Linked DNA regions of Struthio camelus. The protein of the gene in region 1 purifies or fractionates together with the protein of each later gene. This does not show direct contact. Links are inferred from orthologs where the notes say so. Each region holds a gene or a part of one and is shown in the gene's direction. Other genes may lie near its edges. The genes, in order: LARP7, LTV1, HP1BP3 and KPNA3.

Region 1 (7,644 bases):
ACATACTGGTTCTAGCATGACCTTCATTAACATTTGTGCCACCAGGCAAAACATCAGAGCCCTGACTGTTTATCGACAACCTGTCATTAACAGTATGTGCTGCACAGTCGTTGAGATCCTTTTTATGGGTCTTGGCTTCAATATTTAATTGACTTTCATTAATCTGTTTTATTTTGTTTATATCATCCAAAAGTTCCATTTCAATTCTGGCGGGGCTTACAAAGTCTTCCGCAGTTCTCCCAATATCGCCAATGCCGCTGTCACAAAGCGGCAACGGTACACCTCCTGGACAGTGATTTCCATCATTCCCTCTGTCAAACGTTAAACCTCTGACTTCTTCCTTTTTACTGTGTGGTGTTACTTCACAGCAAGAACGAAGTCTCAGCTCAACAGTTTGTGCTGCGTCTTTTCCCTTTAAGCAAACTGGACCTTGTGAAAGCATGTCTCCTTCACCAAGCTCTTTCACATCTCTTTCACACAGCTCTCTATTGTCTGTGTCATTAAAATCAAAAGCCTCTAATAAATTGAAATTCACCTCCATCACCTCTTCTTCTGGACCACTGTCTCTGCCATGTGTACTTAATTCCTCTTTCACAACTACATGACCAGTCAATGCTACGTCCGCAGAGAGCTCCAAGTCACTGGACACTGTTTCTGAATTTCGTCTCAGCTGGAGTTCATTTTGTGACTTTGAAGATGAATCCTCTTTAAGACCATTAGTCACTGAACGCTCTCTGCATGTGGAGAGATTTGTTTCAAGGACGATGGACTCAGCTGGACTTGCTGAATAAGAAATATCACTTAAGGATGGGACACATTGACTGTTGCTCATTTTACTTATGCTAGATTCAGATAGGAAGCAACTATTTGGATGGTCACTAGCAGCACATTTGTTAATCGATAATGGTTTAGGTACCCCATCACTTCTAGAGAATGAGGGTTCTCGACATCTTTCACAATCCCAAATGCATTGCCTTTTGCTGTCTGTTAAATTCATACAGACACACATTTTTTCAGGGTGCAAAGTCTTTGTATTGCAGGGGTCTTGTAAATCTTGACTTAAGATATTTGCCTTTCTGTCACGTCTTTGTCCCGCAACTTCTTTATCACAAGCTTGTTCAGCTGAATTTAGAAGCATTTCAGCATTCCATTCCCTTTCATCACTTCCAGTTTCCTTTGTAGAATGTTGGTGCTGAATATTTTGAGTAAAACCTTTGCCGGGGTTGCCTGAAAAGCCAGGTGGGGTTGTACTCTTCTGGTTATAGAAACTATCTATATTTTCTGAGGTCTGAAACTTAGAATGGCATTCCGTGACTTCAGAAATTGTTTGCTCTGTGCATAGGTGGGCTGGTTTAGACTTCAAAAGAGCAATTATCTGTGCTGTGCTCCTGATGTTCTGCGACACCGCCACACGACTGGTTGCCTTGGTGTGCTCACTAATTAGAGGATATTCTGGCTTCACAATGGACTGATCAGAGTTACTCTTCTCTGTCTCTTTATACGTCTCAAGAAATGGAGCTGAAACCAGTGAGGTGAAGGACACATGTTCTTTATCATTGTTTGTATACACATTTTCATGAAAGCTGGTGGATACATTTGTGTCTGCATCCTTCTTGCAAACAGTAGAAAATAAGGGAGAGGTGATATAAAACTTAGATGGCAAGGAACTCTGACACTGCTTAGATAAAGGCAATAATGTTGCTTTTTCTTCATCTTCCTTTGCTGATATTTTCTTTTCAACTTGACGTGGCCCTTGGAAACCCTAAGAGAAAAGTTTAAAATTAATTCTACTCAGAAATCAACCTCACATTTTGTAATCTAAAAGATGAAAACAGGACATGCTTCATAAACCATATTCTGACCAAATATCACAATGATTCCATACACGTACAGAAATAATCTCAAACCCTTGTGACTTTCACTGTACCCCTAGCAACAGCAATTCTGCTAAACCCAAGAAAGATTTAATAAACTACGAAAAAAGAGCTTCCAGTAACATATTCTGATTTACAGTTCCAAAAAAAAGCAGGAAGACATTATCTGTATATTCATCATTCATTTAAAAATGTGCCCTTGGTGTTTTAAAATGCATGTTAATGTCAGACAACCTTTGAAACAAAGACATACTGTAAACTTCCTTTTCAACCCAACAGGCAGGTGTCTTGGAGGCAGACCACCAGGCTTTACGCCATTTCTATTCACTGCTGGAGTTTCTGCTTTCCTTGGCTGATCTTCAGAAGATTTTTCATTCAGTTTTACTGCTTCAACTGTGATCAAATAGCGTTCACTTTCTAAATTATCTCCAGCATTCACCTAGGAAAGATAAGGCAGCAGTGGGTACACAATAGTGCTGCGTAAGAAACACAAACAATTCCCTCTAAATGTTGTGATACTTGCACATAAGAGTCAAAAACGTAATATTTTTCACTCATAAGAAATAAGAAACTATCAGCCATATCGCTAGAGAGAAAAAGTACTACCTTAATTACCAAACAAACAAGGGTTTGGAAGGCTTCCTGCAACACAAACCACAATCATAAGCATACAAATAAAAAAAATCCAAAACAAAATATACCTGAGATTTTATAAACAAACTCTCCAAACATTGTCCTTTATCATCAAACAAGATTGCCTACAATGAAAAGAAATCGTTATTTTAAATAATGAATTTTATTTCACAGATCTACTACATGGCACTGATAGTCAAACAGCAGCAGATGATATCAAATTGTATTAAATTTGTTCACCTTATTTCCTCCAGTTCTAATCCTCAGAATTCCATCTTGCCATGTTTTTGATTTTTTCATTTTTTGGTGAGTGTATAGTACCTGATTTAAATGTTGAAATAGTGATAAGTAAGAAAATGTTTAAATAATACAGCAGCTACATCGATATTGACTTTTTTACTCACTGGCCTACAGTGTAAAAAAAAAGACTTACAGTAAACTCTTGAGAAGCCATTGTTTTGGCACAACGTTCGTCCAACAGCTTATTCTGCAAATATTCATACCTTCATACAGCCTGAGAGACAGGAAAATTTTCAGAATTCAGCATAGTTGTAAGGGAAATGTACTGAAAAAAACAGATGCCAGTTCACTTATTTTTTCTCAAGAGTAGAAAGCTAGATGCAAAAAAAAAAAAAAAGTAAAAAAACTCCACACACACCTTGGCTCTCCACCTCAAGGCATGTGTGATGTGGGAATTCTAAAGACACACCTTGAAAATAATTTAACAGAAAGTCTGTTGGTTAAAAAAAAATTAATAATTTATATACACCAACGTCCATTTTAAATTAATTTAAATGAATGTCTAGCAACTCTGAAAACTCCATTGATCACATAGCACTTTGAAATTACAAATTATCCTAATTGTGTTCACTTGCAGCAAGAAAATATGGAAATTATTAACAGACTAACTTTGTCAAGAGTTTATTGACTTGACTTGGTCACGCATGCTTAACTCACATTCAAGATAACTGATTTTCAAAATCAGCTGCCCGTGAAGTCAAGCCTCTTTACATATTTAAAGCTAGACCAAAATAACTTTTAAAGTAGCTTCCGATGGTGAAAATGGGAACAAAACTTTATAAAAGCAACTTGTCTTTAGAAGCTGGGGCTTACTGTACATTTTGGTTGCTAATATTTGATCAGTACTGTGATTTACACCAGCGCTTAAAGAGCAGCACTTAAGACCTTATTTAGTTTAATCAATTAATGGCATTGCAATGAAAACGCATCACAAGAAATAACATAACATTTCCAGTTATTCTCACACTGCAGCTCAGTGAGAAATACTTTAATATAAAGTAGCTACACACAGGCACATTCATGCTTCTTCTCATGGCGCTGTTTCTTACAGCCGTCACGTTCTTGGCAGCCCCCGGATCAGCACTGTGGATAGTGACACACTTTTCAGAAGCAAACACAAGAAAAGATGTTTAGCAACGTACGAAACCTAGGGAAGAAAGGGAGACGTTCTCTAGGGACACAGAATACCTCCTCTAGCTATTAAAAACAATGCGAATACTTACTATGATTTAGCACAGCAAGCAGCAAAAGCGGGAGTGAATACGAACGCTGCCAGCATTAAGTTTATACAGATTTGCTAAAGGCTCGCTCTTAACACGTCGTACAGGTTAAGCCCCGTGCTAACGGTCAGGGCAGCTGTACGCATTTGCCCTCAGTACGCGGGTGCTCCACTAAAGCCTGCCTCCTCACGGACCTCCCTGCTCCAGGGCAACGCCATCCCCGCGCCGGGGAGGCCCCCGCCCCGCCGCCAAAGCTTGCGCCAGCCGTTAGCGACCCCGCGGCCGTTAGCGACCCCCGCCGCCGCCGCCAACGGCCGAGCCGCTCCCTGCGGGCGCGCGGCGGCGGCCACGCCACGCTACGTCACCTGACGTCACAGCCCCCTTGCGGGAGCGGGGGGTCGCGCGAGCCTCGCAGCCCCCCGCCCACCTGTCCCCGGCGCTCGCTCCCTCCGCGCGTTCGAAAGCTTCCCGCCACTGCCGGCGTGACGTCACTACACGCCGACAGCCAGCGAGACAGGCCCCCCTCCCCTCCCCTCCCCCGCCCGCGAGGAGCGAATCACGCGCCCGCAGCGAGGCGAGGCGTCGCCGCCGCTGCCGCCGCCCTCCCCCCGCTGCCGCACTGCGCATGCGTGCGCGGCGCCCCGGGGCTTTTCTCTGCCAGGGGGCCGCGCGTCGCGCGGGGGCTGACGGCCGGTGAGGGCTGAGGGAGGGGGCGGGGCTGCGGCGAGAGGCGGGCGCGGACGGCGCGGCGCGGCCCCGGTGTCCCCCTGCGAAGTCGGCCTCTTCGGGTCCCCACCGGCGGGTGACGGCGACAGGTCAGTGGCGCGGCGGCCGGTGGCGGCGACCGTCGGGGGCCGCTCTCGCTGCGGCGGCGCAGGCAGGGGGCGCTGCCGCCCCTCCCTGCGCCGCCGCCTTCGTGCGCATGCGCGGGCGCTCCTGGGGCCGCAGGCCGTTAGGGGGCGGCTCGTGCCGGGCGGGCCGTTGGGTCTCTGCGGCGGAGGCGGCCGGCGGGGGGCGCCATCTTGTCGCGTCCGTGCCGGGGTGCGGCGTATGCGTCTCCCTGAGGTACCGTCCCAGAATCGCAGAATGGTTGAGGTTGGAAGGGACCTCTGGAGATCATCTAGTCCAATCCCCCTGCTCAAGCAGGGACCTCTAGAGCATATTGCCCAGGATCACATCCAGGCGGGTTTTGGATATCTCCAGCGAAGGAGACTCCACAACCTCTCTGGGCAACCTGATCCAGTGGTCTGTCACGCCTGGGCTAACCTCTGCCTTTGCTTCCTGCAGACGCAGCGGGTCGGTGAGCAATCTGAGTAGCAGGGCTGAAACCTGCAGTGGTCAATACCTAAATAGTTGGCAAACATATAGTGGTTGGCCTCTTCAGGGACTGTCATTTTGCCAGTTGCTTCAGTGGCAGAGATTGCAATGGGGCTAGGAAAACTTGTACATCGTGCCTCTCCTCTTTGAAGGGGAGAGAAGAGGAAGTTCACCCTATAGTTGTGTAGTGCCTCTGAGCTGGTCTGTTTGCAGCCACTAAAAGGGCGGCAGAATGTCTTGCTTTTGTAACCTCTCTATGCTGTACCTGAGGGCTCATCCCTGCAGCTTCCCTTCGTCATCTGTGCTGCTTATTAAGTCCTTTAATGAGTTGACCTAACCCACTTACCCAGCAGAGAAGTAAGACTACAAAATAGTAACTTCTCAGATCAGAGAGCTGAACTGCCTCCCCAGAGGATGATACAGACTCTGAGGGAGGACTGTGTAGTGAGTAAGACAGGAACCAGGCTGTCCTTTTAGTGTTAGTGTGAATTGTTGGTTCATACAGCTGAATCAGTCTAATTGTATTCCTTAATTCTGCACCTGAAGCTAGGCTTATTGCACTTATGACCCAGAATGGCCTTTGCTAGCCATTGCAATGAAGAATGGGAAAATGAGACTCTGGAACAGGAGTTGTGACAGTAGATGAGTTTGGTGGTTGTCCACTTACTTCAGCTGTGAAAAAAGGAGATGATGTGACTGACTTTGTTTGCAGAGTTATTTGGGATCCACTGATTAAATGTCTTGCTAGAGGTGCCTGTTTTCTTGTTATTGCAGTTGCCTTGTGCTGTGGGCCTGCATTTTATTCAAAACCTCCCTTTCAGGCTCTAGTGATGACAGAGAAACGGTGACCACGGCAGGCCTGGCACAGTAAGGTCTGCCCATGTCTGGAGACAGCCGTAACAGCCATCACTGTCCTGTGGAAGCTGAACCTTTTCTGTTTGTGAGCACACTAGTCCTAGGATCCATACTCAGCATTTTATGACATCTTTTGTATGTCTTAAATGTCAGTTTAAAATTACCTACTAGTTTCGTGGTTCAAATCGGAAGAAAGCAGAAGGCTCTCTGTTGTTAGGTTATGTAGCAAAGCGTGCTAGTCTTCATGTAACTTTTGTCCTTTCTCAGGTCACTTTCTGCCTAATTAAGTTATTAGGTAGGGTATGAATTCAAACTAGTGCAGCTCTTCCTGTTTATCTATTAGAATAAGAATATCCAACATAGATGACAAAATGCATCTTTGAAAGTAGTTTAAATTATGCTGAATATCTACTTTTAGTTTGGCATATGTATCTAAAAGAGGAAACACTATATGGAAACATTTTCATAGCCTAAAAAGTATTTTGAATGATTCTTGCCACTCTTGTTTCTTGATACTTAAAATCGTAAAAGCAAACAAGCGTATGTATATTGATACTTAAAACAAGGGAACTGGATATTTTACAATTGGGACTATATTTCTTGCAGACTCTGGATGACAGTTGCATTTGATTATGCTTTTCTAGTGTCCTTGTAACAGTAGAAGTTGGGGGTTTGAAACTTGTCTCTATACAGAATAGCACCAATTTGGTTACCATTTGTCTTCTATAAAGTGTTTAGACAAAGCACTATAGATTTGTGTGAACCTGCATTATTTTTATTTACATGTCCTTTGTTTTTCTGGATTTCCCCCTTTCCTCACCTACCCTGCCAGCCTGCCTAATTGCCCTCCTTTTCCCACTTTCAGTCTTGCGCATAGGGAATATGTGATTTTATTTTATATGAGAAAGACTAAATGAGAGTAGTTGTTCTAATAGGCAGAAATCTTGACCCTGCTTGTGCTTTCTTCTGATTTTTATTGTTAAACAAAACAGTGTTTGCAACTGCAAGGGTGGCAAATTAGCGAAAATGCAGGCATGTTGTATAGCTTTGGGCTGCAGCTTTCATTGCTGAATTGAGATTTGCACCAGTAATTGCGAAGAAAAGGAATGCTAACAAAAAAAGTCGAACTCAAAGCATTTCCTTATTTGTAAACAATATTTTCTTATATTGTGAATTAAACTCAATGATCTCTCACATACGATTATTTCACTACTAAATGTAAAATTGTACACAAATTGTAAGATGGATTCGTAGCTGACGTTTGCTCTGATGCGTTTCTAAGTGCCTCCAAAATCTCATTCCGAAAGATTCATTCCTGAAACAGTAGCAGAAAGGGAGTGCCATAAAAAGAGCAGAATATAGCTTGCAACTTTTTTTGTGTTTCCTTTAAGCTCGAATGAGAACTTGTCTCCTGGGAAAGAAGTCCCAAGGCTGAGTGACTCAAA
Region 2 (7,824 bases), on another chromosome or scaffold:
TCTTGCAATACTATGTCAAATTTAACCATATTTGAGCATTGTTATAGTACAGTAGAACGTTGCTGAACATACATACCTTCTCTTCCTTTCACGACTTTGTGTGGTGGTATATTAATTTGTAAACTTGTATAAATTTTGGAATTAAAGAAAAACTGTGGTTTGGACAATTATTTCAGCTGGTATGATTTCAAATTAAAAAAAAAGATCTCAATGGATTGTTTGAATGGGCATCTAAATATATGAGTAGGGGCAAGAAGGGTGCAGAGGTGGCCTATTCTAATTACCTGTCACCATTAAAATAGCTCTTAAGATATTTTTTCTAAAAGAGAAGCTGAATTCAATTTACAACAGAATTGTAAATGTAGGAGAGGTATTCGAGCACTGTAGATGACATTTCTGTACATTTGGGAACCGATAGGTTTGTGTCCCTTTCCAGGTCTGTGCAGAACAATTGCTCTAACAGTAAATCATAGCAGTATTAATATGCCGTATTTTATAGATCCAACTGTACCTTAAACACTGGACTTCAAAGAACATGTATTTTCTGTGGCAGAGCTGAAATACACCATGGGTGCTCAGTACTAAGAATCCTTGGGCACATGACTCCTCCCACTCAAGTCTGCAAGGACACCTCTGAGATGACTCCAGTAAGGAGGGCTTGATGATCCAACCACCACAGGTTCCTGGTGCTTAAACTCCAGTGGGATTTTATTAGGGTGCAGTAAAGTCAAGAGGTGCTTATGCACTGAATTTGTTAAAAGAAGGATTGGGGCCATAGTCACCTGAAATTAAATTTTGGTCTTTCTGCCTTTGTAACTTGGATTCATTGGAATTATTTTGCAGTATATAATGAAGTGTCAGCTATCAATAGGCACTGGGCCAGTTCCTGGACTTTTATCGTTTTTATTAATTTGGTAAAAAATAGAAACAAATTGTGCTCAAAGTATCCTGCTTGAATTTCAATAAACGTTCATATTTACGAGTAAAATAAAGTAAACAAAGCTTATGACTTGATTCCCCACTGCCCATCATGCTAGATAGTTACTGATAACTGTAACAAATGGAGGTGAAATGTTACCAGCTTAGAATTGCTGGCGTTTATAAAGCTCACTTTCCACATGCATAAATGACTTTCAAAAGATGTGAGGCTTTGGGGAATCAATACCCTCAACTTTTCAGTTTATGCAGTGTTTATTTTGCATAATAATTATAAAATGAATGCCTCTACTTGTATCTTAGTAACTTGACTTAGAGTGACTGAATACGATAACTTTAAAGAAGCGACTGATCTGATACTGCATTCTACACAGGATATCTGTGAATGTAAATTACAGTAATTGTTACAAATTAATGAGATAAAAACCCAAGAAGCAGCTATCTGCACTGTGGTATATACTTATACACACACACACACAAGTATATTTCAGTATTGTCATCTGAAAAAGAACATGCATTATCTTTTTTATGCAGTACACACATTATGCTTGTGTTTTATGTTTTTACTTAACAAGCAAAACATGTGCACTGCCTAGTTGTACAGTACCGTAGGATACTCTGCTGTGCACAATTCCAAGTGCCTTAGAAAACTGTTTAGCTTTTTGAATTACAGATATGAATGAATATATACAAATATAAAATGAAGAAAATTACCTCAATAAAATTGTTCAGAAAATCTTTACAGAAAACATTTCCTTCTTGAATCTGTAGCAAGTACATGGGTGTGTATGATGGAGTAAACTGCAGAGAGCAGTTATTTGTTGGAAGGTGGTCTCCAAAGATTGAATTCAAAGTCACTGCATGCAAATGAAATGAAGGAAGGATCCTGAAACCTTCCTTTTCATCTTGGGAGCCCTTCACACACACCTAGTAGCTCTCTTGGGGGTGGTCTTATTCATGCAGAGGTGTGTTGAAGTGCTGATAGGTTAAAAATACGTAGTGTACTAGCTCAATAGTGCAGAGACCTAGTTTATGCTCCCAACTTCACAAGTTCTGTATTAGTAAATCAAGCAGTTGTTTTCACTAGCTTCAGCAGAATAACGTGATTGACATGAGAACTGAATTAGAATTACACCTACTGCATTTACATGGACAAGACTGATCCGCGCAGCTCAGGGTTCGAACTAGTCTGCAGAATGTCTGCCCATCTTTTAACGTGACAAAGTAACTGGCAATAACTTTCGCTTTGTAGTTATGTAACCAACCATACCTCCTGTTATTGCAAGAACTAATAGCAAAAATATTTAGCATAAGGTTCCTCAAAAGGAAGGCAGATTGTTGATAATGTTAAAGAAATTTAGGCTTCCTGGCCAGATTCTAATCTCTTTTAAACTGAAGTAAATCCAGAGAGAATGAAGTCCAGAAAGTCTACTACATTTACTCAAGGATAATTTAAATTGCAACATAAGCTAGGGTTATTGATATGTCATTTATTCTACATTACTAAACACTTTTCTGGAAAGAACAGTAATATATTTGAACAAAAGCTTGCCTTCTTTTCCTGCTTATTTAGTATTGAAGTATAAATGTTAAGCTTTGGCTTTTAAACCAAATGCCTTCTGAACATCTATTTGGTAATTAAGGCAGCTAAACGTACAAATAATTTCTGTGGATTGCTCCAGTATACTATTGTGTATACAGTATACTCCCTCTGCGGTGGGACCATTCTGATACTGAGCATTCTTCTTCCATAAACGAAATAGAAGTGGTTAGTGAGCTGACCCCCTTTTCTCCCCACCCTCTGTAAATGCTCTTTGTTGACTTGAAACTGCAAGGCATCTCAGCAGAGAACACAGTGAGAGAGTACACCAGTACAGATGACCTTGTAGGGCTTAGATGAGACTAGAAGTTTAAGTGGAGTCTCCATCTGAGAGACTCCTGCATACATATTTCACATGCAGGTGATACTAAACTCTGAATTTTGAAAGATCAGACATCAGTTGGAAGTAGATGAATCACCCTTAGGTATCAAAAAAGGAGGTACATCAAACACCAGGAAGATGTTTATTACTGCTAATCTCACAATTTTAAAACTAATATCTAGATGTATTACGGTTGAGATGCAGAATCAGTCTTCTGAGATAAGGGAGCCTCTTCCTGTAGTCACAGGGCAAACATATAGCCAAGGTTATTCCCCTTAAACACGTGGAATCGAAAAAGGAAAGACACAGTGTGGAAATGAGTTAAGACAGAAAACCTTGACTTGTAAAACACTGAAGAGGTAAATTTAATTTGCCCCAAATGAAACAGATGATTAGCAAGGAAGCTAAGAGCAAAAGCTAGTTCTTCCAACTTGCAGGCTGACCAATACTCCTAGACCGGATTTTAAATATAGGGTATGAAAGTATTGTTACTGTTGGGTAGGAGGCTGTCCAATTCTCAGTACGAGGGGCAATCCTCTTACCGAGTCAAGGGACGAGTACTTTGCACCATGCAGCGTTCTGCAGGGATACTAGAGTTAGCTCAGGAACCTGGAAGCAATAAGGACTAATTTACTTTGTAACCCGGCAGAGAAATGCTGAGCACTATGTTTTTAACAGTTTGACTATTCCACTCCCATTATCCAAGTTGCCTAGTTAAAAGCTAGCTCAGCTCTATCACTGGTTTTGCACCATGGACATACTATAGGATGGGAGTTAGTCCTGTTCAGTGCAATCCTGAAAAATCTATTCATAGCATGCAACCAAAGGGTTGCTAACCCTCCAGACTGAGAGGCGTGAATCAAAGTTTCATGTGGCTGAACGCCACAAGATGACCACCATATATTTTTAAGACGCAAGAGAAAAGGAGTCTCTAGGCTTTTCTCAGAAATAAGCAGGGATAATTTGAATCCCCCGAGTACAGAAGTCATTCATGGAGCGGATCAGATTAGCTCATCCATTTCCGTGAGATTAACGTGGTGAACCTCATCTTAAAGCTTCAAGACTTCAGAAAACAATAGCAGGAAAGCGAAAATCTGTAGTCTTTTGGAGCTTTAGTGACACCTAGTGAAAAATACTGACATTCACTGAAACATGATTCAAGCTCATTATTATTTTAAGGTATACATACACATTTATTTGGGTGTTCAGATATACAACCATAATATGTGGAACGGTTATTTTAAAAATAATTATTTCTTAGATATCAATAACAATTCTTTCAATAGCTTTTTTTAATTTTTGTAATTGCCTATACACACATAGAAGAAATTCCTCCCGTTTTGTAGCTTACAATTTCTTCTGAAATGCAACAAAACAATTTTACCTAATATGTCTAAACTGCCAAGCATATTTTTTCGTAGCGAGGAGTGTGCGTCTGTGCCCGCACTTGTTTGTGCACAAGTGTGCCCGCGGGCATGCTATATGGCACAGATAGTTTATCTAGTGACATAAGGAGAAAGGACACTGATAATATAAATACATAAATTATACGTATAGCTCTTATTTACACCTCACCCTTCAAATTCGGCCTGAATATAAACTAGCTTGGAGCAATACTGGAAAACTGTGTGGCAGGGACCTCTGAAGCACCGCTAGCTGAAGACCCCCTTTCTGCTGGGCAGGAAGGCAAGTCCTGCCTGTGCCTTCTGCTTAACATAGCTTCTTTATAAAGGTTTATGGTAGTTCCTGAGCGCTCGCCACTTAGTGACGGGAGTGAAATGACTTCAGTTTTTCATACCCTTTCTGTTCTCTCACCTCCTTCACGTGGACAGGGCAGGTATGCCAAGCAGCCAGTCTCCTTTTCACAGGATTCATCGGGGGATTTTGTTCGTGGGCGGGGGCGGGGGAAGGATTCGCTATTGCCGTTGGGGGGGAGACGGGCGGAGCAGAAGATGACCAGCAGGACAGCGCAGTGCCAGCCGCCCCGCACGCCCCGGAGGAGCCCAGGCGACACCGGCGGGACGGAACCGCCGCTGGCGGCCACGCAGGGGGCAGAGCCCCACACACGGCTGAAACGGCCCCCTCCTGCCCCGCGCCGGCCACGCCCCTAACGGCCACCCCGCCGCCGCCGGGGAGGGGGGCACGCGCCTCCCTGCCAGCTAGCTCCGCCCCCCCGCCCTCCCCCTTCCGGTGCGCGGGGTCGGCGGCTGCGCACGCACCTTGCCCTTTGGCCCGACCGAAGCGTTCCGCCGTTGCGGTCCCCTGGCGGGCGGAACCATTCTCCACAAATTGGGGAGGGGGAGAGGGAAGAAAACGCGGATGCGGAGGAGCTCCTTCTGCGCGTTCAGAAAGCCTCTTTTTCACTCTGAAAGTTATTTAGCCCGAGAAAACTCCTGCTGTTCTCGTGATTGCGAAAAAACAACCCGCCCGGCGTGGCAGCCTGTCGGCTTACCCCCCCCTCCCCCCATGGTCCCTGCTTTATCCCAACGCGGAGGCGGCAGCCGCGGCCGTGGTGACGCCGCGGCGGTTCCCGGCCGGGCCGTGTGGTAGCAGCGCCCAGCACCGCCGGCGGGCAGCGCCGGCCGCCCTCGCGCCATGGTGAGCTGCAGCCGTTGCGGGGGAGGGGGGGCTTGTGTCGGTCGCCCCTGCGGCGGGGAGCCGGGCGCTGCCTGTCCCTGATGGGGGGGGGGGGCAGAAGAGGGCGCCTGCAGCCGGTAACCGTCACCCACTCTCCCTTACCCCACTTTCACCCCCTCCCCCCCCAATGGTTTTGGGTTGAAATTGGGGGTTTGGAGGCCTGGTGAACCGTCTCACTTGCTGGGCTGGGCTGGGCTGTGCGGAAGCTTTTTCCTCGGCCCTGTAAGGGTTCAGGGCGCCCCGGAGCTCCGGACCTGCGGGAGGGGCGGGTGCGGCGGCCCCCGGAGTGGTGTTGAAGAGGAGGTGGGCGGGGGTGGAGGGGGCAGCGTGCCGCGGCCTGTGCCGCCTGCCTAGGAATGGTTGAGGCCTGCACGAGGCGAGCACATGCTCCTGGAATGATTTCTGGGTTTGCCATAGGCCAATATTAAGAGGTGGTGTCTAGTTTTCCTGCTTGATGTCCTGCAACGTCAGTGTTTTATAAGCACTTCACTTGTATCACCAGTCAGCAGAAAGTTTGTTCGTAGGGGTAATATGTTGTCTGCTTCCCAGAGCTGATTACATCTCATTTTATGATTATCCTAAGATTTTAAGATATAGGATATTTTTCTTTAACTAGAGATACGTTTTGGCAGTTGATATGCTCAGGACCTTGATGTTAAATGGTGTGTAAGGTTTTATATGTTAAAAGAAGATTAGGTTACATCAGTAAGATAGTCTTCAGGTTACATATATTTTCTATCAATACATGCTAGTAGGTAAACAAAGCTATAAATTTTGATAAAAGTATTTCTTTCAGTTAGATGTGCTGACTTGTAGGAGGGGCTTTTACCCACGTAAGAAAACTGCAGATTTTTGTTGATCCAGAACGTGAATGTATTTGTGGTGTTCAGGTTACATCTGCATAGTGGTGTAGTTGATAATTGTTGGGGTCGATGGTGAATACGTAGAAATTGCATTGAAACATCTATCTGAACAATTTGCAAGAGGCTGTGTTTGTCTAGATGAATTTGCGCCTATCGGTTTCCTGTGTTTCTGTGATGAAGTTTGTTTCAGATATGCCCCAGTGTTTAGAAAGCAGTTACATCTTAGCATACAGTCCTGCAAAGGGATTTTTTAAGTATGTGCCATAATCAAATACTTGTTTCATATTCGTATATTGCCGTTTTACAGCTGAATACGGTTGCATGTGCTATTGGAACACATGAAGTAACTTCATGCTCTTCTGCGTGTGGGCGGAAGAGTTGAGCGAAATACAGCTAGTCTCTTGCTTTGTCTCTAAGTATACGTTTTAAGACTTTATGTTAATAGAGCATGTTTCAGGCAAAAGATCCTTTTTGGATGCATTTTATATTTTGTTTTTTATTAACGATTAACATAACCAAATGTTTTTTGCAGCCTCACAGGAGGAAGAAGCCCTTCATAGAGAAGAAGAAAGCTGTAACATTTCACTTAGTGCACAGAAGTCAGAGGGATCCACTTGCTGCTGATGATACTGCACCCCAGAGAGTTCTGCTGCCTGCGCAGAAAGTAAATACTTGCTTTTACTATTGAGGTTCGGATAGGAAATGCTGCACTGGAGAAAGATGGGTATGGAGTCTTACAGTTGAAGTACATGAGAGAAGATGGTTAAATGCCGGTGTTCAGCTGTAACTTGTTTGTAATTTTTGCCTGATACCCTAAGGAGGTGAAACGTGAATATTATCTTTCTGACCTGTTTGTGTATTTGGTCTCCCTGTATATACTATACGCATCTTTGAAATGGTTCAGAAGCATCCTGAGAGAGGAGCAGAAGTTCTGAAAGTGTTTTGTTACAAAGCTTTCAGAAAAATCAGTTGTGTGGAGAGCTAAAACTCTGAAGATGGATAGAGATAGAACATCTCTCTGTTCTTTTTGCTAGCCAGTTAACATACACTTCTGAACAAGCTTTTGTACTCTGGGAATGTGGAAGTGGGTAGTGAAATAGGAGACAACAGAGAAATAGGAGCAAAGATTATTAAAAGGAAGGCCATGCGAGATTGTGGGAAGGTATAACTGGGACAGAAAAAGGGGACGTTGTAGGGGATTTGATAGTTGTGAATTACTGCCTAATGGATGGAGGGATGGCTAATTGGCAGTAGGGATACAAATATATTAAAAACAACCACAACAAAAAATCATCTCACCCACCCTGAAAAAACAGGCTTTGTCAATTGTGCTGCTTATGAAAAAAGTTGCTTAAATTCCTGCTCAGACAGCGTCTAAACGCTTTACTAAGCGGTTTCAACATTCTAGTTGGTTGTGTGTTAGGATGATGTGTGGAGAGAGGACTGTAGGGACTGCTGTGGAGTCA
Region 3 (7,538 bases), on another chromosome or scaffold:
TAACAGCAGATAGTGTCATGAAGCAGAGTTTTACTGAGCTCGCAGGCTACACAGCGCTACCTAGCATGGAGCGGAGCCCTGTTAGAAGTGTTTTATCTTCACTCAGCGTTGCAGAGAAGAGCAGGAAGGCAGCTGAAAAGATCATCTCAGCTGATGCAGTTGGTACCGTCTGGAGCAGGAGGGAAAATTGGTAGTTTCGGTGTTGCTGAATAAGCTGTTCTGAAATAACGTCCAGTGGAAATGCTCTGTCCTGCCATTAAAGATGGCCTTAAGTGAATAATCCATCAGCCCAGGCCACCTCCCGTTTGCTTGTGAGCAATCTAAATGTGCTGGGAAACGGCGTAATTCCTCAAAACCCGCTGGCCTGGGAAGGGAATGGGCTCTCAGCCTCTTGCGCGCTCTGCACGGTTGCAGCACCACAGCTCCTTTAATTTATGGCGATGGGCACAGCTCACAGCTTTGTTCTCCTACCGGACAGCCCTGCTTTGGGTGTTCAGGACAGAAATAATTTTCCATCCTTTCAGTGATCTGCCCCAAAAGCAAAACATAACAGCAGGCCAGCAGAGCCCGTCCTGATCCTGACTGCTGGTTTGTGCAGCGTACGTGCCTGCCTTGGGATTGGCTGGAAAGAGACGCTTCTTTCGGGTACTGCGACCAGGAAAGAGAAGGAGCTTCACACACCTTCTCTGCAGAACAGGGCAGTCGCGTGTGTTACCATCCTTTCCTCCAAGGAGACAACTGTTTTTCCCTGTTAGAGACAGGGCTTGGGTCAAGCGGATGTTTGTTTTGACCCACTGTTGAGTAGTCGTGTGTTCCCAAGGTGCTTTAGGGCAGAGGCCTTTGAAGCGATCAGAGGGGAACGGCCAGCAGTTGCCCTTCTTGCTAGCTGTGGAAGTTGCGATGCTCTCTGAGGAACCTGGGCCGTGGCTGATGCATCTCGAAGAAAAGCCGCTTGACACAATTCCCCATGGAGAGACCAGCAAGCTAACGCTAGGGTTGACTGTACGCCTCAAGGAAGAGCCAACGCCAAGAATGCTTTAAATTCCTTTTCAACCCAAAGATCTTCTGTCTTCGCAGCAAGGCTTGCTGGCACGGCTTTACTCTGCTACGGCTGCAGGATCGGCGAGAAACCAGCGCTGCTTTCCGCCCGGAGGCCAGAGTCCAGCCAGGCTGCTGCATGCACTGTGCATGCTGCGGATGGCAGGGACATGCTGTGCACGCCTGGCAGCCAAAAATGAGCTTTTGTGGCTGTTAAAGCGTGCCAGTCAGGAGGCGTTACTGACAGTAAGTTATTACCTGCCTGGGTGAGGGGAACAGGCACTGCGTGTTTTGTGCCGCAGCCTGCTGCTAACCAATTTTAACTTGAAATAGCATTTGGCTCAGAGAGCAAAGGAATTTAACAAAACACAAGTGTTCCTGCTGCCAGATATTAACTGTGGGGACACACAGCTTTGGAAGAGGTGTGATCTCCCAGGGTGAAACGCGGAGCTGGTAGACTTTGACCCCTGCTCAGCTTAGGGGAGCTGTCGTTTTCACTTGCCTGCTTTGTGTAAAATAAGTCACTGCTTTAATGCCAAAAGTGTTTATCCCCTCTAGAAAAATTACAGGCCTCAGCCACTGGCCTCCCAGTGACGAGAGTAGCTGCCTCATTACGAAGGCAGTAAGGATCTGTTTTGGATTTGAGCATCTCCAGAAAAGCAGCAACCTGCAGAGGCTACTTTGGATAGGCAACGCTTTCCTCCATCCTGTTCTCCACCCTGCAAGGCTGCTTCCACCGGAGAGGTTTCTGGATTCACTTGAGAGGGAGCAGAGGTGGGATTCGTCCCGCCTGACTTGAGATGATGAGCTTGGAAGTAGACTTCCTTTCTAGCAGAGACGTGAAACAGTCAGTTGTGGGGCGCTCTCCCGGCCACGTCACGTCAGAAGAGGCGTGCCTGTTTGCTTCTGGTGGCCTGGGAGGAAGGCCGGGTGACAAGCTCTGATGGAGAGGTCTGCACTGGGCTGTAGAGAGGGGAGGTGAATGCCTCCTCTGCTGCCTAAAAGCCCCCTAAATCTTTCACTAGAGCAAAGCATTACTGTGCCCTCGGCAGCCTTGGAAATAAATATGTAAACCCCCTTCTTACTGCTCTTTCTGTCACTCCCAGTGGTAGGTACATTTCTGTCACTCATAGGGTCAACTTAAGTCTATTTAAGCATATTTTTATTCATCTGCTGAGAACTAATATAAAATTGGGTTGGGGGGGGGTTGGAAATGCACAGATTAACAGCAAGCCCTTTGGAAAGGGGTAACGTTTTGAAAAGAGAAGCTAACTAGAGCCTTAATGGGTAGCAGTTAGAGAGGCAGCAGGAGAGGAGCAGCTGGGAGGCAGGGTAGGGCTACAGTGGGAAGCAGCCCAGTCCATGGGAAAAGTCCTGAGAAAATGTATTAGGAGGCTGTTAAAGAATAAGGAGATCAAAGATGATACACGGGAGGCCACAGAGCAGCAGGGAAGATGCATTCTGAGTTGGAGCCAGAAATGGAGTGCTTTTTGCACAGAGTTGTAAGAAAGACAGGGATCACAGTAGGACTCTGCAGCTGAAAAGGTTAAATATGAATTACCAGAGGAGCGTAAGTTGTTCAGCAAGTCAGCCGAACGGACGCTTAAAGGCAGAGCAGCCGAGGTGGATAAGCAGCAGGATGTGAAGCTTTAGGGATGAAAGAGGGAGGCAACTGGAAGACGCTTCCCCCCCCCCCCCCCCCAACCCCACCCCAAGCCTGGTTGTGATCAGCCCCGGGAGGAAACGGAAAAAGGCTTGCGTTCTCCCCGAGCCAGGCCAACGGCATGCCAAAAAGTTTCTAATTTATAAAAGGCTTCATGAAACAAGTGGGAAAGTTGAGGGTAAAAAAGGGGAAACTAAAAAAAAACTTGCCAAGGTAGGGTGACGACACCGGAGGCAAGGCCTAAATATAATCAGAACTGAAGTCGGGAGCTGCAGACAAGCATTAAAGCAGAAGCTGGCAACAAAGAGCCCGTGCTCACTTGGCCAGCCAGAGCAAGACCGTATGAGCCGCTTTCCACGTACAACGCGCGCAGCACGGGAGGCCCTGAGACGCAATGAATTATCAGTCAAAGTGATAGTAGTCTTGCGTTAAAAACATAATAGCTAAAGCCATAACTTGTACGCTATGTGGCAGGTAACGCTAAGTAACTCAGGGGCAGCGCTCGTGAAGCAAGAAACGTTCACGTTAAACAAAAATTGTGGCATAACGGGCAAAAACTATTAGTTGGCACAGGGTAAGAAAGTTAACGGAGCGTCTCGTGAGCCTTGAAATGGAGTTTGTAGTCAGACGTATTTGCAACAGAAGTACAACCGGTAATTCACACCAAAGTGTGAATGTTTCTAACAGAAGCACGCTCGCTGCTTTGCTCTGGAAAGCGCTCTCAGGCGATGGGGGCGGAAATCCTGTTCAGGCTCTTGACAGGCTACGTTTTACTGATGCGCGCTCTTCGCGGCAGCAGTACATCTGAATGACCTGGTTTAGACTGCAAGTTGCACTGCACAGGCAAGAAAAACCCTTCCAGAAACGAAAGCCCCAGGCTCATACGTCGAAGCTTCAGGGCCGCGGAAAGATGCAATCGAATCAAATGATTTTAAGGAAAAAAAAAAAAAAATTTGCACGGGCTGGTTGGAGTCCTACTACTGCACGGCACTTGGGAAGGCAGGAACGGTAGCCAAAGTGCTTAATCCTTATCAAAAGTAGGAAGGAGCGCGTTCCCGCTCGCTGTCCTCGCCCCTCCTGCCGGAGAGGCACCGCGAGGAGGGGGGGGCAAGAGGCCACGGCGCGCGTTTTTCCTGCAGCTGCGTGGTCGTTATTTCGCCCTGGCGAGAACCGGAGGAATGTTTAGCAAAAGCGGAGCCATCTGGCCACGGCGCTGCCAGGGCTGTTCGAGGGGCCCGGAGGAAAACAAAGCGTTCAGAGCGGGCTAAACCGGGCCTGGGGGAGCAGGCGCAGGCTGGGGCCAGGCCTCGGGCGCAGCAGCGCGGCTCTGGGAGGGGGACGCCGCCAGGCGCTCTGGTAGCGCGCTGCTACGGCCGCCATCGAAGCGGGGAAGGGTGGCAGAAAGCTGAGGAATGCGCAACAGCCCCGGCGCGACGTTGCCGCGGGACTTTAAACCTTACAGCCCCCCCTTAAAAGCACAGGTAGAGAAGGGAATTTGCGAGTTATCCTTTAAACGCAAGCAAAGGGGCAACAGAGGGATTTCGGGGGGGGGGGAAACGCAGCCCGCCACTGTAAATCACACGGTGAGAGCGTCAGGGGGAAAAAAAAGAGGCTCAGGCCAAGCAAAGGCAAGTGCCGGCCGAGCTGCAAGCGGCGGGAGGATGGTGAAGCGAGAGGCAAGAGGCAAAGACACGACGCTGCAGTGAGGTTGCTCAAGGGCGCGCTGCCCCCTTAGGGTTGTGTGCGGCCGGGGCGAGGAGGAGAGGCACGCTGGTGCCCTCAGTAGGCTCCAGGGGTAACGCCTCAGGGCGTGGCCAACGGCCGCCGGAGGGGGGGGAGCGGTTGGCGCCGCGCGCGCGCGCAGTGCGCGCCGGAGGGAGCCGTTAACGGCCGCGCAGCAGCTCTCGCGCCCCGCCCGCCGCGCGCGCGCTGAGGTGGGTCGCAGAGGTGGGGGGGGGGAAGAGAGCGCGCGCGTGACCCGCCCGCCCTCTTCCCCCCGCCCCGGCGCGCGCGCGCGGAGCCTCGAGCGCCCCCCTCAGCCCGCCCCGCGCCGCGCCGCGTTTTGTTTGGCGGCCAGGGGCGGCGCCGCGCGGAGCGGGCGGAAGCGGAGGGCGCCGCGCATGCGCCACCGCGGCGCCTGCGCGCGCCTCTCCCTCCCCCACTCGTCACCCCCCCCCCGCCCCGCGGCCGCGATTGGCCGCCGGCCCGCACGCGGGACGTGGACGCGGCCGGCGAGAGGGGGAGAGAGGGGGGGCGGTGTTCGAAAAATGCCCGCTGGCCGCCATTGGCCGGCGGCGCCGGCGGGCCCCGCCCCCCACCCCCCCCGCCCGCCGCGGCCACACCCCTGGCCGCCGCGCGGCCCCGCCCCCCGCCCCTTTGCCCCGGCCCCCCCGCCCCTCCCCCGCCGGTTCCCCCTCCGCCGCCGCCATTAGAGGGGCCGCTTTGTGTCCGCTGGGCCTGCTGGTGAGTGACCCCCGCCCGCCCCGCGGCGCCGCGCTCCCGGGCCGGCGGGGAGGGGGGGGCCGGGCCCGCTAGGCCGCCGCGGCGGGGGGGGGGGGGGGGGGCTGCGTGTGTGTATGTGTGTGTGAGGAGCGGGGGCGGCCTGGCGGGGCCACCGGGAAACACCCCTCGGCGCCGCCCCTCCCCCCGCGTTGTGACAGACCGCGCGTGGGGCGGGGAGGGAGGGGGACGCTGTCGTGGGCTGTCGCGATAGGCGGCGGGTGAGGCGAGGGGCCCCGCGCGGCCTGCTCCGCCCTGCGGGGCTCGTCTCCCGTCACGGGCCGCGCCGGGCTGGGCCCGCAGGCGAGGCTGAGCCGCCCCGGGCGCCGGTGTGCGCCGCGGGGAGCAGGGCCGGGGTCCGGCCCGCGGCCCTCTCGGCGCGGGTGGGCGCCCGCAGCGCCTCGCTGCTGGCACAAAGGGAGGTGCCCGGCCCCTTCCCCGCTGCTGACACCTGGTAAACAGCCGCCGGCGGCGGCAAGCGCTGAGGCGGGCGCGAAGCGATGAAACACTCGCTGTTGACCGGTTCGGCGCGAACCGAGGAAGTGCCCCGACTCCAGCAGCTGTGTACTCGCCGTTGTTGTTGCTTTTTTTTTTTTCCTCCTCGAACTCACTTCACCGCAGTCCAGAGAAGTGGCACCACACTCAAGAAAACGCCCTCTCCTCTCCCTGAGGCTTGAGCGTGCAGCCCTTCCGCAAGGAAGCTCCTAATCCCTCTCTGTGCCTTGAGAGCTAGACACTGGCCTAAACTGGGAGAGAGCAGGCGCCTCTGGGTTTCTCCCTGGTCACAACCTCGTTAAAGAAGCTAATTATCCCCCCTCCCTTTCTTGTGTGTGCTTCTCTGTACAGAAAGCTATAAATTCTGGACTCAAGAGAGGCTGGGTTGTTTCAGAGCGCATTCATTCTGGGTTCGCTATCCTTATTGCCACCCTGGACTGCATTTTCTGGCTGAAACCCTACAAAGACTCGAGATGGGAGAGAGAAGCAGTGGACCAAATTCTCAGCCAATATAAACTGATGTGGCTCTTTCCAGGTCTGAGGGCTCCACCAGCTTATACTGCCTGAGGACAGCTCCCGACTGGGGACACAATTCACAGCAACTCCTTCCTGCCTGTGGCTCCTTTCCTAGTCACAGGTGTCTGCAAATCTTGGGGGACTGCTCAGCCTCTGCTAGAGGAAAAGAAAAGTTAGCTAATCTTGTGCTTGTGGGCGTGTTCGCTCCTTTTAAAGTATAGCAGAGGCTGGCAGCTTGCTTCTGTCTTTGGTATTTCACAGGTTCCTTTTTTCAGGAGTCTTGCTTGCCTGCTAAATTGTTTTTTGGGTTAACAAGCATGCAACTTTTCAGTTCTTATCAGTCTTTTTTTGAATAATAGCTACTCTCTGGTTTCCGTGCATGTTTTGTTTTTGTTTTTTTTTAATACCATAAATTGTATTTTAAGCATCTTCAGCAAAATAGTTGGCTAACAATCTTTGGCAAGCAGCTATTTTATTGCAGCGGCAACGGTTTGAAAGTACTAATGTTTATAAACAATCCCATGCTATCAAGCTCCTACGCGTGGGGACAGTGTGCATAGGGGGAATGAGAGAAGAGGAAGGGCTTGCTGATTAGCATCCCTTCTGCTCAATTTAAAGAACGGAGGAGATGTGTTAATGGACGGTACAGGAGAGCACTTACCTTCCTCAAGAGGGATTTAAAGAGATTGGTGGATAAAGTGGGAAGCCCTGGGAGGTCAGGGACGGGTTGGGGAAGAATACACATCAGATCTGTGGTGGGGGGAAAGAACTTACTGAATACGCCTTGAAAATATCTACTGACTTTTGCAGCCGTTCTCCTCTTTAAATGAGTGTGCCCCCTAATTACTTAATTTTTCAGTTTCATGCACTTTTCCTTGAGTACTAGCTGCTTGGATTAATTTTGTCTCCAGAATATCTTTGTCTCTTGCGTTTTCTCTTTCAATAGAAACTGATGTTTGAGCTTTTGTCAGTATTTTGTTACAAGTCAGCCAGGGTGTTCTGAGGATTTTAACCTTCCATAAGAGAGAATAAAAGAAGCTTTACGTTAATGGACTCTAATATGAAGTGTGAGTAGATTTTATACAGAGTACAAGGAAATCATAGGTTTTATTTTGTGTAGTCTTGTACTATAAAATAATCAGAGATGAGTGAATTAGGAATAGTTTGGGAGAAGGGTTAATAGTGCTTTCAAATTTAAACCATCTATGCAAGAAGGGTGTTGCTGATAAAGGTTCTTAACCCCAGTGTGCAATGTTCATGGCTTAAAACTTACATTCAAGTGTCAGTGGTTTGTCAGAATTTGTAATATTGGATTCTGCAATTAAGA
Region 4 (7,032 bases), on another chromosome or scaffold:
TCAGCAGGGACTTGCTCCCCTCCTCTCAGGAGCTGCTTGCTGTCCTTGCTCTCTGCCTTAGCTACATCGCAGCTATGCCCATTCCTGCCTGTGTACCTCACTGATCCAGACCCGGGCCCTAACCCACTGGCTTGATCTGTGACGTGCCTGGTGAGCTCCTGTCTGATCCTGGTTACCATCGCCAGAGCAGCTCTGCTCTTCTTGTTGGAGTACTGTGGTACTGTGCCCTTGTCTCTGAAGCTGTTGCCCCATGCCTGCCCTTGGATCCAGTTGGCCTTCCCTTACAGAGCAGTCCTTGCTGCTCCCTGATCCTAGCAAATAGAAGATGAGAAACTGGCTTGTACTTACTCTGGAGTTGCTTGTGAGAATAGTGGTGGAGGAAAGCGAAATTCTCACCTGCGAAGAGCTTCCCCTAGTCCTCCTCCTGGTCAAAGTGGGGACAAAGAGAGTCTCTTAGATTGAACATGGGAGCTGTGAATATCCAGAGGTTTTACAGTTCCTCCTTCACTAAAAACATCATACAGCTTCTGGAAATAGTAGCAGACAAGCCACCTTGTCCCTGAATGCTTCTGTCCCTTGTCTGCAAATAATACAGGACCATGCCAGGTCAGACCATCTCATTTGCGTCGCCAACAGTCACCAGCAGATACCGTGGGAAAAGTATAAGGATAGGAATAAGTATGATGGTTCCCCCAACACTTTCCCAGCTTCCAACTATTTTCAGATTAGAGATTTCCTGACCTGGATGTGGCTTTTTCTATACAACAACTTTCCATGGGTTTCTCCTTGGTAGACCTGTCTTGTCTCTCCTTGAGCGCAGACTACCTTCCAGCAGCCATGGTATTGGACAGCAGCCTTTGACAAAGCTTGAGTCTTTACCAGGATTTATTTACTATTTATTTATTTATTTATTTACTTGTCACGTTCATTACTAAACTCTAGTTACGGTGTGGTAAGAACATAAGTCTTTTCCTAGGAAGACAATTTTTGACTTCTGTGACACAAAGTAGCCTTTCTGTATAGCTAATGTAAGCAACATGCAGCAATAGTCTTACTGAAGTGATACGTTGTAAAGACAAACTGAGTACCAAAGGCTTTGTTTGCAGGTGACTTTGCCTTAGTTTACCTTATGCGTTACTCATCCCTACAGAAAGAGACATCCCTTTTCTTCAGAGGGCAACACCCAACGAGACGCAGTTCAGCCAGCTGCCAGAGAGCTAAAAGTAATGTGGGGATACATGCTATACAAGCATCTGCCAATCTTGCTCTAATAGATGGGGAAAGCTAGGCCCAAAAGTTAACCGTCTGTTGGGAGTAAGAGACTGTGTGAACAGTGGCAAATCTTGTACAGAAAAGCTTCCTCCCACTCTGCTCTGCCTGTGATAGTATGATACAAGCCAGAGACACGTAGGCCTCCCATTTGGAGAAGGACAAGCAAGAGGTGAGACTGATGAATGACTTAGGTTGACTTAAAGTAGTGTTCCTTGCATCTTTTTGTAACTGGAAGTTACGTGTTTTTATAGACCCTGGTTTTGACAGATAGTCTGCAGCCAGTCCAGCTGCAGTGGGTTAAGAAAACAGCATCTCACTAGCTTCCCCACTCCTCTTGCAGCAGAGGGCACCTGCACCTCCTTCACCGCACATGTCTCAGCTTCAGCTCCTCATGGTTGTGAACAGGGAGGCTGAGGAGATGGCACATGTCCTATTTGCCCCCCTGCCTCCCCCTGTAACATGCACCAGCCAGACAGAGCTGATACTTGGTAGCATCTTAAATCGCTGCATCTAAATCTGCCTGATCCTTCTTGCAGGTCCTTTTATTAATGCATACTTGATAGCCCCCCGACACGGAGCTGCTTTAGAAAGAGTATTACTCAGGAGCATTACAGTTCTCTTATATGCTGGTTTTCTTGCAGCTGTATCGACTGGCAGGTGTTGACACAATCATTGAGCGCATATGAGCGAGTGACCAGTGACCTCAGGGGTGTCGACGCTGTAGCTGCAGGCAGGCTCCTGAGCTGTTCCTCTGTGGTTCCCAAAACAAGGTAATATCACCTTATTAGTCATGTTTTTCTGCTGAAGTCAACAGGTCATTCCAGAAACAAACACAGATCAACTCACTTCAGCAGTGGGAGCAGCTGGGGTAGCCCCAGCCCTAGGTATCAGGTGCCACTGTGGGGACGGGGATGGGTCGAGGCTTGCAGATCTTGTCCACAGGAACACGTCAATATGAAGCTCATGTGGTGAGGAAGAATGGCCGCACTGAACTACATAGTTCATTCAGTTTTCAAAGTAGCGAAGTATTTGCTCCTTATATTTTAGCAGTGGCTATTACAGTGCCAAAAAGCAGTATTCAGGGCACTGCATCAAAATGTGTTCTCTCTGAGCGCATGCAAGTTAAATTATCTAGTCAAGAATTCCACCAAGAAGCTTTATTCAGACAGTAACACTAATCAAACTGCCATGTAGCTCTGTCTAAAAGGCATTCAGTTATGAAGTGTCTACCAAGACCAATCAAATGTGCTACAGAAACTCTGAAAAGCCTATATCATGGGTAAGAAGAAACAGACAAGAAAAGACACGACCACCACTGTATCTATATATCTTACTGAGCGCAATGGATACAGCTTCATGTAAATTGAGTTGTCTCAGATTGGTGACATTCTATTTTTTATTCATTAAGTTTTCTGTTCTACCTCATATATCACACTGAATGGATTTGAACAAAGCTCCTTTGTTCGTGGTAATGGTGTGCGGCTCCTCCACAGGATGGCTGTAACACCCATCTGGCAGGGTTCAAAGCGGTATTGCGCTGATGTCCTAGCGGTTCTGCATAAGCCACAGCTGGCAGCTGCCACCACCTTCCTTGGCTGGTAAAACAAAGTTCTCAGCTACTGAATCTGCTTTAGTGACTCTTTTGAAGACAGCCGGACAGCTGGGTCCAATTTTCCTTCAAAAGAAAAAGTGCTAGAACCTAGAAGCTATCATCTCTGACATTAGCAGTCTTGATAAATACGGTCACATTAGTCGTGGCGTTTGCGCTTTGCATGCTCTGGGCTCCTTCTTCGCTGCCACAGCTAGCAATAACAGCACAGCACACCCAGGCAAAGCAACGGGGGAAATGCATGGAGAAATGTTTATCTGGAGCCCAGGCTGCTTGGATCCAAGAGGGACTCAAGTGCTAGAGTGATTCCTCACAGGAGAACATTTGGCACACAGCTGAACGACAGTGAGGAAGAGCAGTTGTTTTCCAGATTTTGCTTGTTTCCAACAGGCTGCAAGCCTTATTTTGCTAGAACTAGAAGTTACAAGTTAAAGTCATTTGAATGATGCAAGAGGGGACGGGGGAAAGCAATTAAAAGGCCAAGCTGTTGATTGAAGGAAGGGACTCTGAAGGAGAAAGAGAGGGTCTATGAAGAGCTTGTATATGGTTCCAAAGGTCTATTGCAGGACCTGATGTGATATAAGGTGAGCTAGATATGAATGTTACAGGGTTTTATTATTTTTAGATTTTGGTTTCCTTGGACGCTTTTCTTCCAAAGGAGTAAGACCTGGCTTTACAGAAGATGTTTGATCACTGGTTACCGGTGTCTAGAATTACATCACCTCAGTGCGTCCTCTTTTCCACTCTGGAAATACTGAGTGCAATTTTAAGGTATTGTAGGTTGAACATATGCAGAAACCTGCTGTACCCAGGCATTTGCAGATCTGGAAATCCTGAATCTATTTGCAGTGTATCCATAGGCCTACTGTCACAGTTGCATAATCGAGCTGGGGATTTCTAGCAATTTTTCATGATGCGGGGACAATCGGTCGGACTGGCCTAGACCGTTTGTATTCTACGTTACAGCAAGTGTGACACCTCCAGGATACGCACAGCCGCGCTGTGCATGCCTCGTACAAGCGACGTGTCTGGAAAGCACTGGATTACATTGGATTTAATTTCCAGGTACGGCTCAGCACGTGAGCTAAAGTAGATCGAGGGCTTCCCAAGACCTCTGATTCGCCAAATGCTTGTTTCGCAGTGCTTTCCCCAGACCAAACACGGCAACTTTGGCGCTGTGGTTTAGGACGGAAGAGGCCGCCGCAGGTGACCTCTGATATAACCGCAGCTGGAAGAACAACCCAAAGCCGGGTTTGCGAACCAGGCACCGAACCACAGGAGGCAGGTAACCGCGTGGCGCCTTCGGGGAGCGGAGCCACCGCTCGCTCGCGCGCGGCAGCCCGGGTGGCAGGGCCTTGCCGGGAGATTTGGGGTGCAGCCCGAGCCCGCGACCGCCCTGGGGTAAGCGGGGCCCTCTCCCACCGCGGAGAGGCTGCGCATCTCCACCGCCGCCATGCCGGCAGGCTCTCCCCGCGCTGGGAGCCTCAACGTCTCCCCGAGTCTCCCCGTATTTACTGCTGAACCCCCAGGCCCAGGCCCAGGCCCAGGCCCAGGCCCAGGCCGCGGCCGCTCCTCCCGCCCTGCAGGGTGCGCTCCCGCCCGCACCACGCCGCGAAGACTACGACTCCCGGAATGCAACGCGCGGGCCGCCGCCGCCGCCGCCGGGCCGCGTCTCTTGGCGCGTGCGGGCCGGGGCCGCAGTGCATGCTGGGCAGCGCAGTCCCCAGCCGAGGGCACGGCGCTGGCAGTTACGCCGAGGGAGAGAGGGAAGGGGGCGGGGCGAGAGAAGAGCCCGCGCCGCCACTGGCGGAGCCCGCCCGTCGCTCTGAGCGCGTCACGTGCGCGGTCACTTGGCAACGCCGCGCGCGCGCGCGCGCTCCCGCACGCGTTTCCCCCCCCCCCCCTCCGCTTTCCTTCCCCTTCGGGCTCGTCACGGAGCGTCCCGCTTCCCCCGCCCCCCTCCCTTCCCCTCCCCTCCCCTCGCGCGAGCCGCTGCCGCCGCCGGAGCCGCCTCGCAGGAGCTGGGAGCCGCCGCCGCCGCCATGGCCGAGAACGCCGCCGCCGCCGCCGGCCTGGAGAACCACCGCATCAAGAGCTTCAAGAACAAGGGCCGCGACGTGGAGGTAGGCGCGGGGCCCGGTGGGGCCCGGCCGGCCCGGCCTCCGCCTCCTCCGCCGCGGGCAGGCGGGTGCGAGAGGAGGGGCCGGGCCGGGCCGGGCCTGGCGGCGCTCGGCGGGCAGCGGCGGCGGCGGGCAGGAGGCCCGCGGGGTTTTTTCTCCTCCGTCATGCGGGCGCGGCCGGCGGGGGGGGAGGGTTAGCGCGGCCCCGGCGGTGTGCGGGGCCCGCGGCGTGAGGCGGCCGAGCGGCCCGGCCCGGCCCGGCCCGGCTCGGCCGCGCCCCCTCCACCCGGCTGAGGCGGGGGGGGGCGGCGGGGAAGGCCGCGGCGGGCCCTGCGCCGCCGGGATCCGCCGATCCGCCCCTCCTCGCCGGCACCTTCCCCCCCACCCTCCCCTTCCATCTGCCTCCCTGCCGGCCCCTGCCCTCCGCCGCCCTGCCCGGTGCGCTCGGGGCTGCACAATGGTGCCGGCTGCCTTTTGTGCCGCTCCCCCCCCCCCACGGCGGGTCGTAGCCCTTCCGCCCGAGGCGGAGCTCGCACGCCGGGCAGCGGCGGCCCGTCCGCCTGCGCGCCGCTGCACATGGAGGCCTACGCCGGCTGCTAAGGGCCAGGGGGAGACCGCAGGGGCCGCTCCCCCGCCCCCCCCTCCATGGACCTCTCTGCGGCGACCTGGGCCCGCCGATTTTGCTCCCTGCTCTAGCTTAAACCACCTTTTTTTGTGTTTCATATATACACGCACACACACGCATACACATATATATTTTTATGGTTCTAGGTACACAAGGAATCACCTGCTGGGCGTCTCCATCTACATCGGGAAAGAGCGTGGGGCTCTCAGGCTAATGGAGTGTTAGTTTGCTTCCCCCGAGTTTGAGAGAGTCTGGGTGGTGAAAAGGCCGCTCGCTTATTCCCTGGAGGGCTTCTTACAGTCTTGGGGATCTATATGCCATTACTAGGGACATCTTCGATTTTTAAGTCACAACGGAAAAGGAAGGAAATCCCAAATCTTAAGCCTTTAAGTTTCTGTAATAAGAAAGGAAGGGGGCCCTGAAGCCAGACTAGGGTTGAAGTCGAATTAGGATTCACTAGCAGGAGAGCCTAAATATATGTAAAATTACTTTCTTTCCTCCTGAGACTGCTTTTCCTTCCTTCTGCTGATATATTGTGATATTATCACTTGACTATACTTTTACAATCGATGTTGCTGGAATTTTAGTCCTTTGAAAGCATGTTTTGTATTTAAGCATAAATCACACCTCTGCTGCCATTGTTTGGGTGGAGACAGTTTCATGCAGGTCAGGCTTAGCAGCAGTGTCTTTAGGATGACATTCACAATGTAAACTAATCTTTATCTCAATTTCTGTTTAACTTGATGACAGTGATTCTTTCTCACAGAAGACCTTGTGTGTAAGGAGCGTGATAACTTAAGCACTTTTGGCTAACAGTAGTAATTATTTGAAAGTAACTAAAAATTGACCATCCTTCAGTTTAGGGAAGGAGGGGGAGGAGACATGGTAGGTTTCTTTTTTCCCTTCTCATCCAGCAAGACTCTTCCTGCTACTCCTCATTCATTTTGTCCTTGTCTCATCTCCTCGTCTTCGTTGTTGGCTTTGTTGCTGCTTTCTCAGGCGCTGGCCTGAATCCATCAGAGCTCTAAACAGGGAAAGGTTAGGTATGTTCATGCCTAGTGTGAACTGATCTGTCATCCATACTTGCTTATATTATAGCATGCCCACGACTAGGGGAATTAAATGTCTGCCTGTATGGGAGGAAGAGGGGAGTTGACCGCCTGAGCTTTACTGGCATTGGTTATACCAGACCAGCTAAGGTGCCTTAGCTCTCAGTAGAACGCTTGCTCCTGAAACGAAGTAATTATTTTGGAATAGTGTATTTGCAATTATGGAGAATATATCCTATAGGGTTATCTTACAGTAGCCAGGCTGATTGACTTCCTTTTGTAGTTCAGCCCTGAAACTGTTTGCCTGGTGGATAACCACATTAACATTAATGGAACTAAAACTTGCATCCATGCTTT

What was found.
Region 2: the proteins of LARP7 (region 1) and LTV1 purify together in Homo sapiens (affinity purification with mass spectrometry; 3 studies listed by BioGRID and IntAct, with this or other methods). This does not show direct contact. The link is inferred for Struthio camelus from reciprocal best matches to the Homo sapiens genes LARP7 and LTV1.
Region 3: the proteins of LARP7 (region 1) and HP1BP3 purify together in Homo sapiens (affinity purification with mass spectrometry; 3 studies listed by BioGRID and IntAct, with this or other methods). This does not show direct contact. The link is inferred for Struthio camelus from reciprocal best matches to the Homo sapiens genes LARP7 and HP1BP3.
Region 4: the proteins of LARP7 (region 1) and KPNA3 purify together in Homo sapiens (affinity purification with mass spectrometry; 3 studies listed by BioGRID and IntAct, with this or other methods). This does not show direct contact. The link is inferred for Struthio camelus from reciprocal best matches to the Homo sapiens genes LARP7 and KPNA3.

The regions. Positions count from the first base shown.
Region 1 is NC_090945.1:23,239,636-23,247,279, reverse strand, and holds the start of LARP7 (la-related protein 7), read left to right. Parts: upstream 1-4,643; 5' UTR 4,644-4,842; intron 4,843-4,937; exon of another isoform or gene 4,938-5,092; intron 5,093-7,644. Other genes in the region: 5'-3' DNA helicase ZGRF1, read right to left, coding at 1-1,762, 2,128-2,313, 2,576-2,632, 2,748-2,828, 2,941-2,961. UniProt on the Homo sapiens protein: RNA-binding protein that specifically binds distinct small nuclear RNA (snRNAs) and regulates their processing and function.
Region 2 is NC_090944.1:77,174,037-77,181,860, forward strand, and holds the start of LTV1 (protein LTV1 homolog), read left to right. Parts: upstream 1-4,805; 5' UTR 4,806-5,453; coding exon 5,454-5,456; intron 5,457-6,890; coding exon 6,891-7,022; intron 7,023-7,824. UniProt on the Homo sapiens protein: Essential for ribosome biogenesis.
Region 3 is NC_090962.1:9,085,305-9,092,842, forward strand, and holds the start of HP1BP3 (heterochromatin protein 1-binding protein 3), read left to right. Parts: upstream 1-4,527; 5' UTR 4,528-4,635; intron 4,636-5,026; exon of another isoform or gene 5,027-5,164; intron 5,165-7,538. UniProt on the Homo sapiens protein: Component of heterochromatin that maintains heterochromatin integrity during G1/S progression and regulates the duration of G1 phase to critically influence cell proliferative capacity.
Region 4 is NC_090942.1:192,846,300-192,853,331, reverse strand, and holds the start of KPNA3 (importin subunit alpha-4), read left to right. Parts: upstream 1-4,032; 5' UTR 4,033-4,923; coding exon 4,924-5,004; intron 5,005-7,032. UniProt on the Homo sapiens protein: Functions in nuclear protein import as an adapter protein for nuclear receptor KPNB1. Binds specifically and directly to substrates containing either a simple or bipartite NLS motif.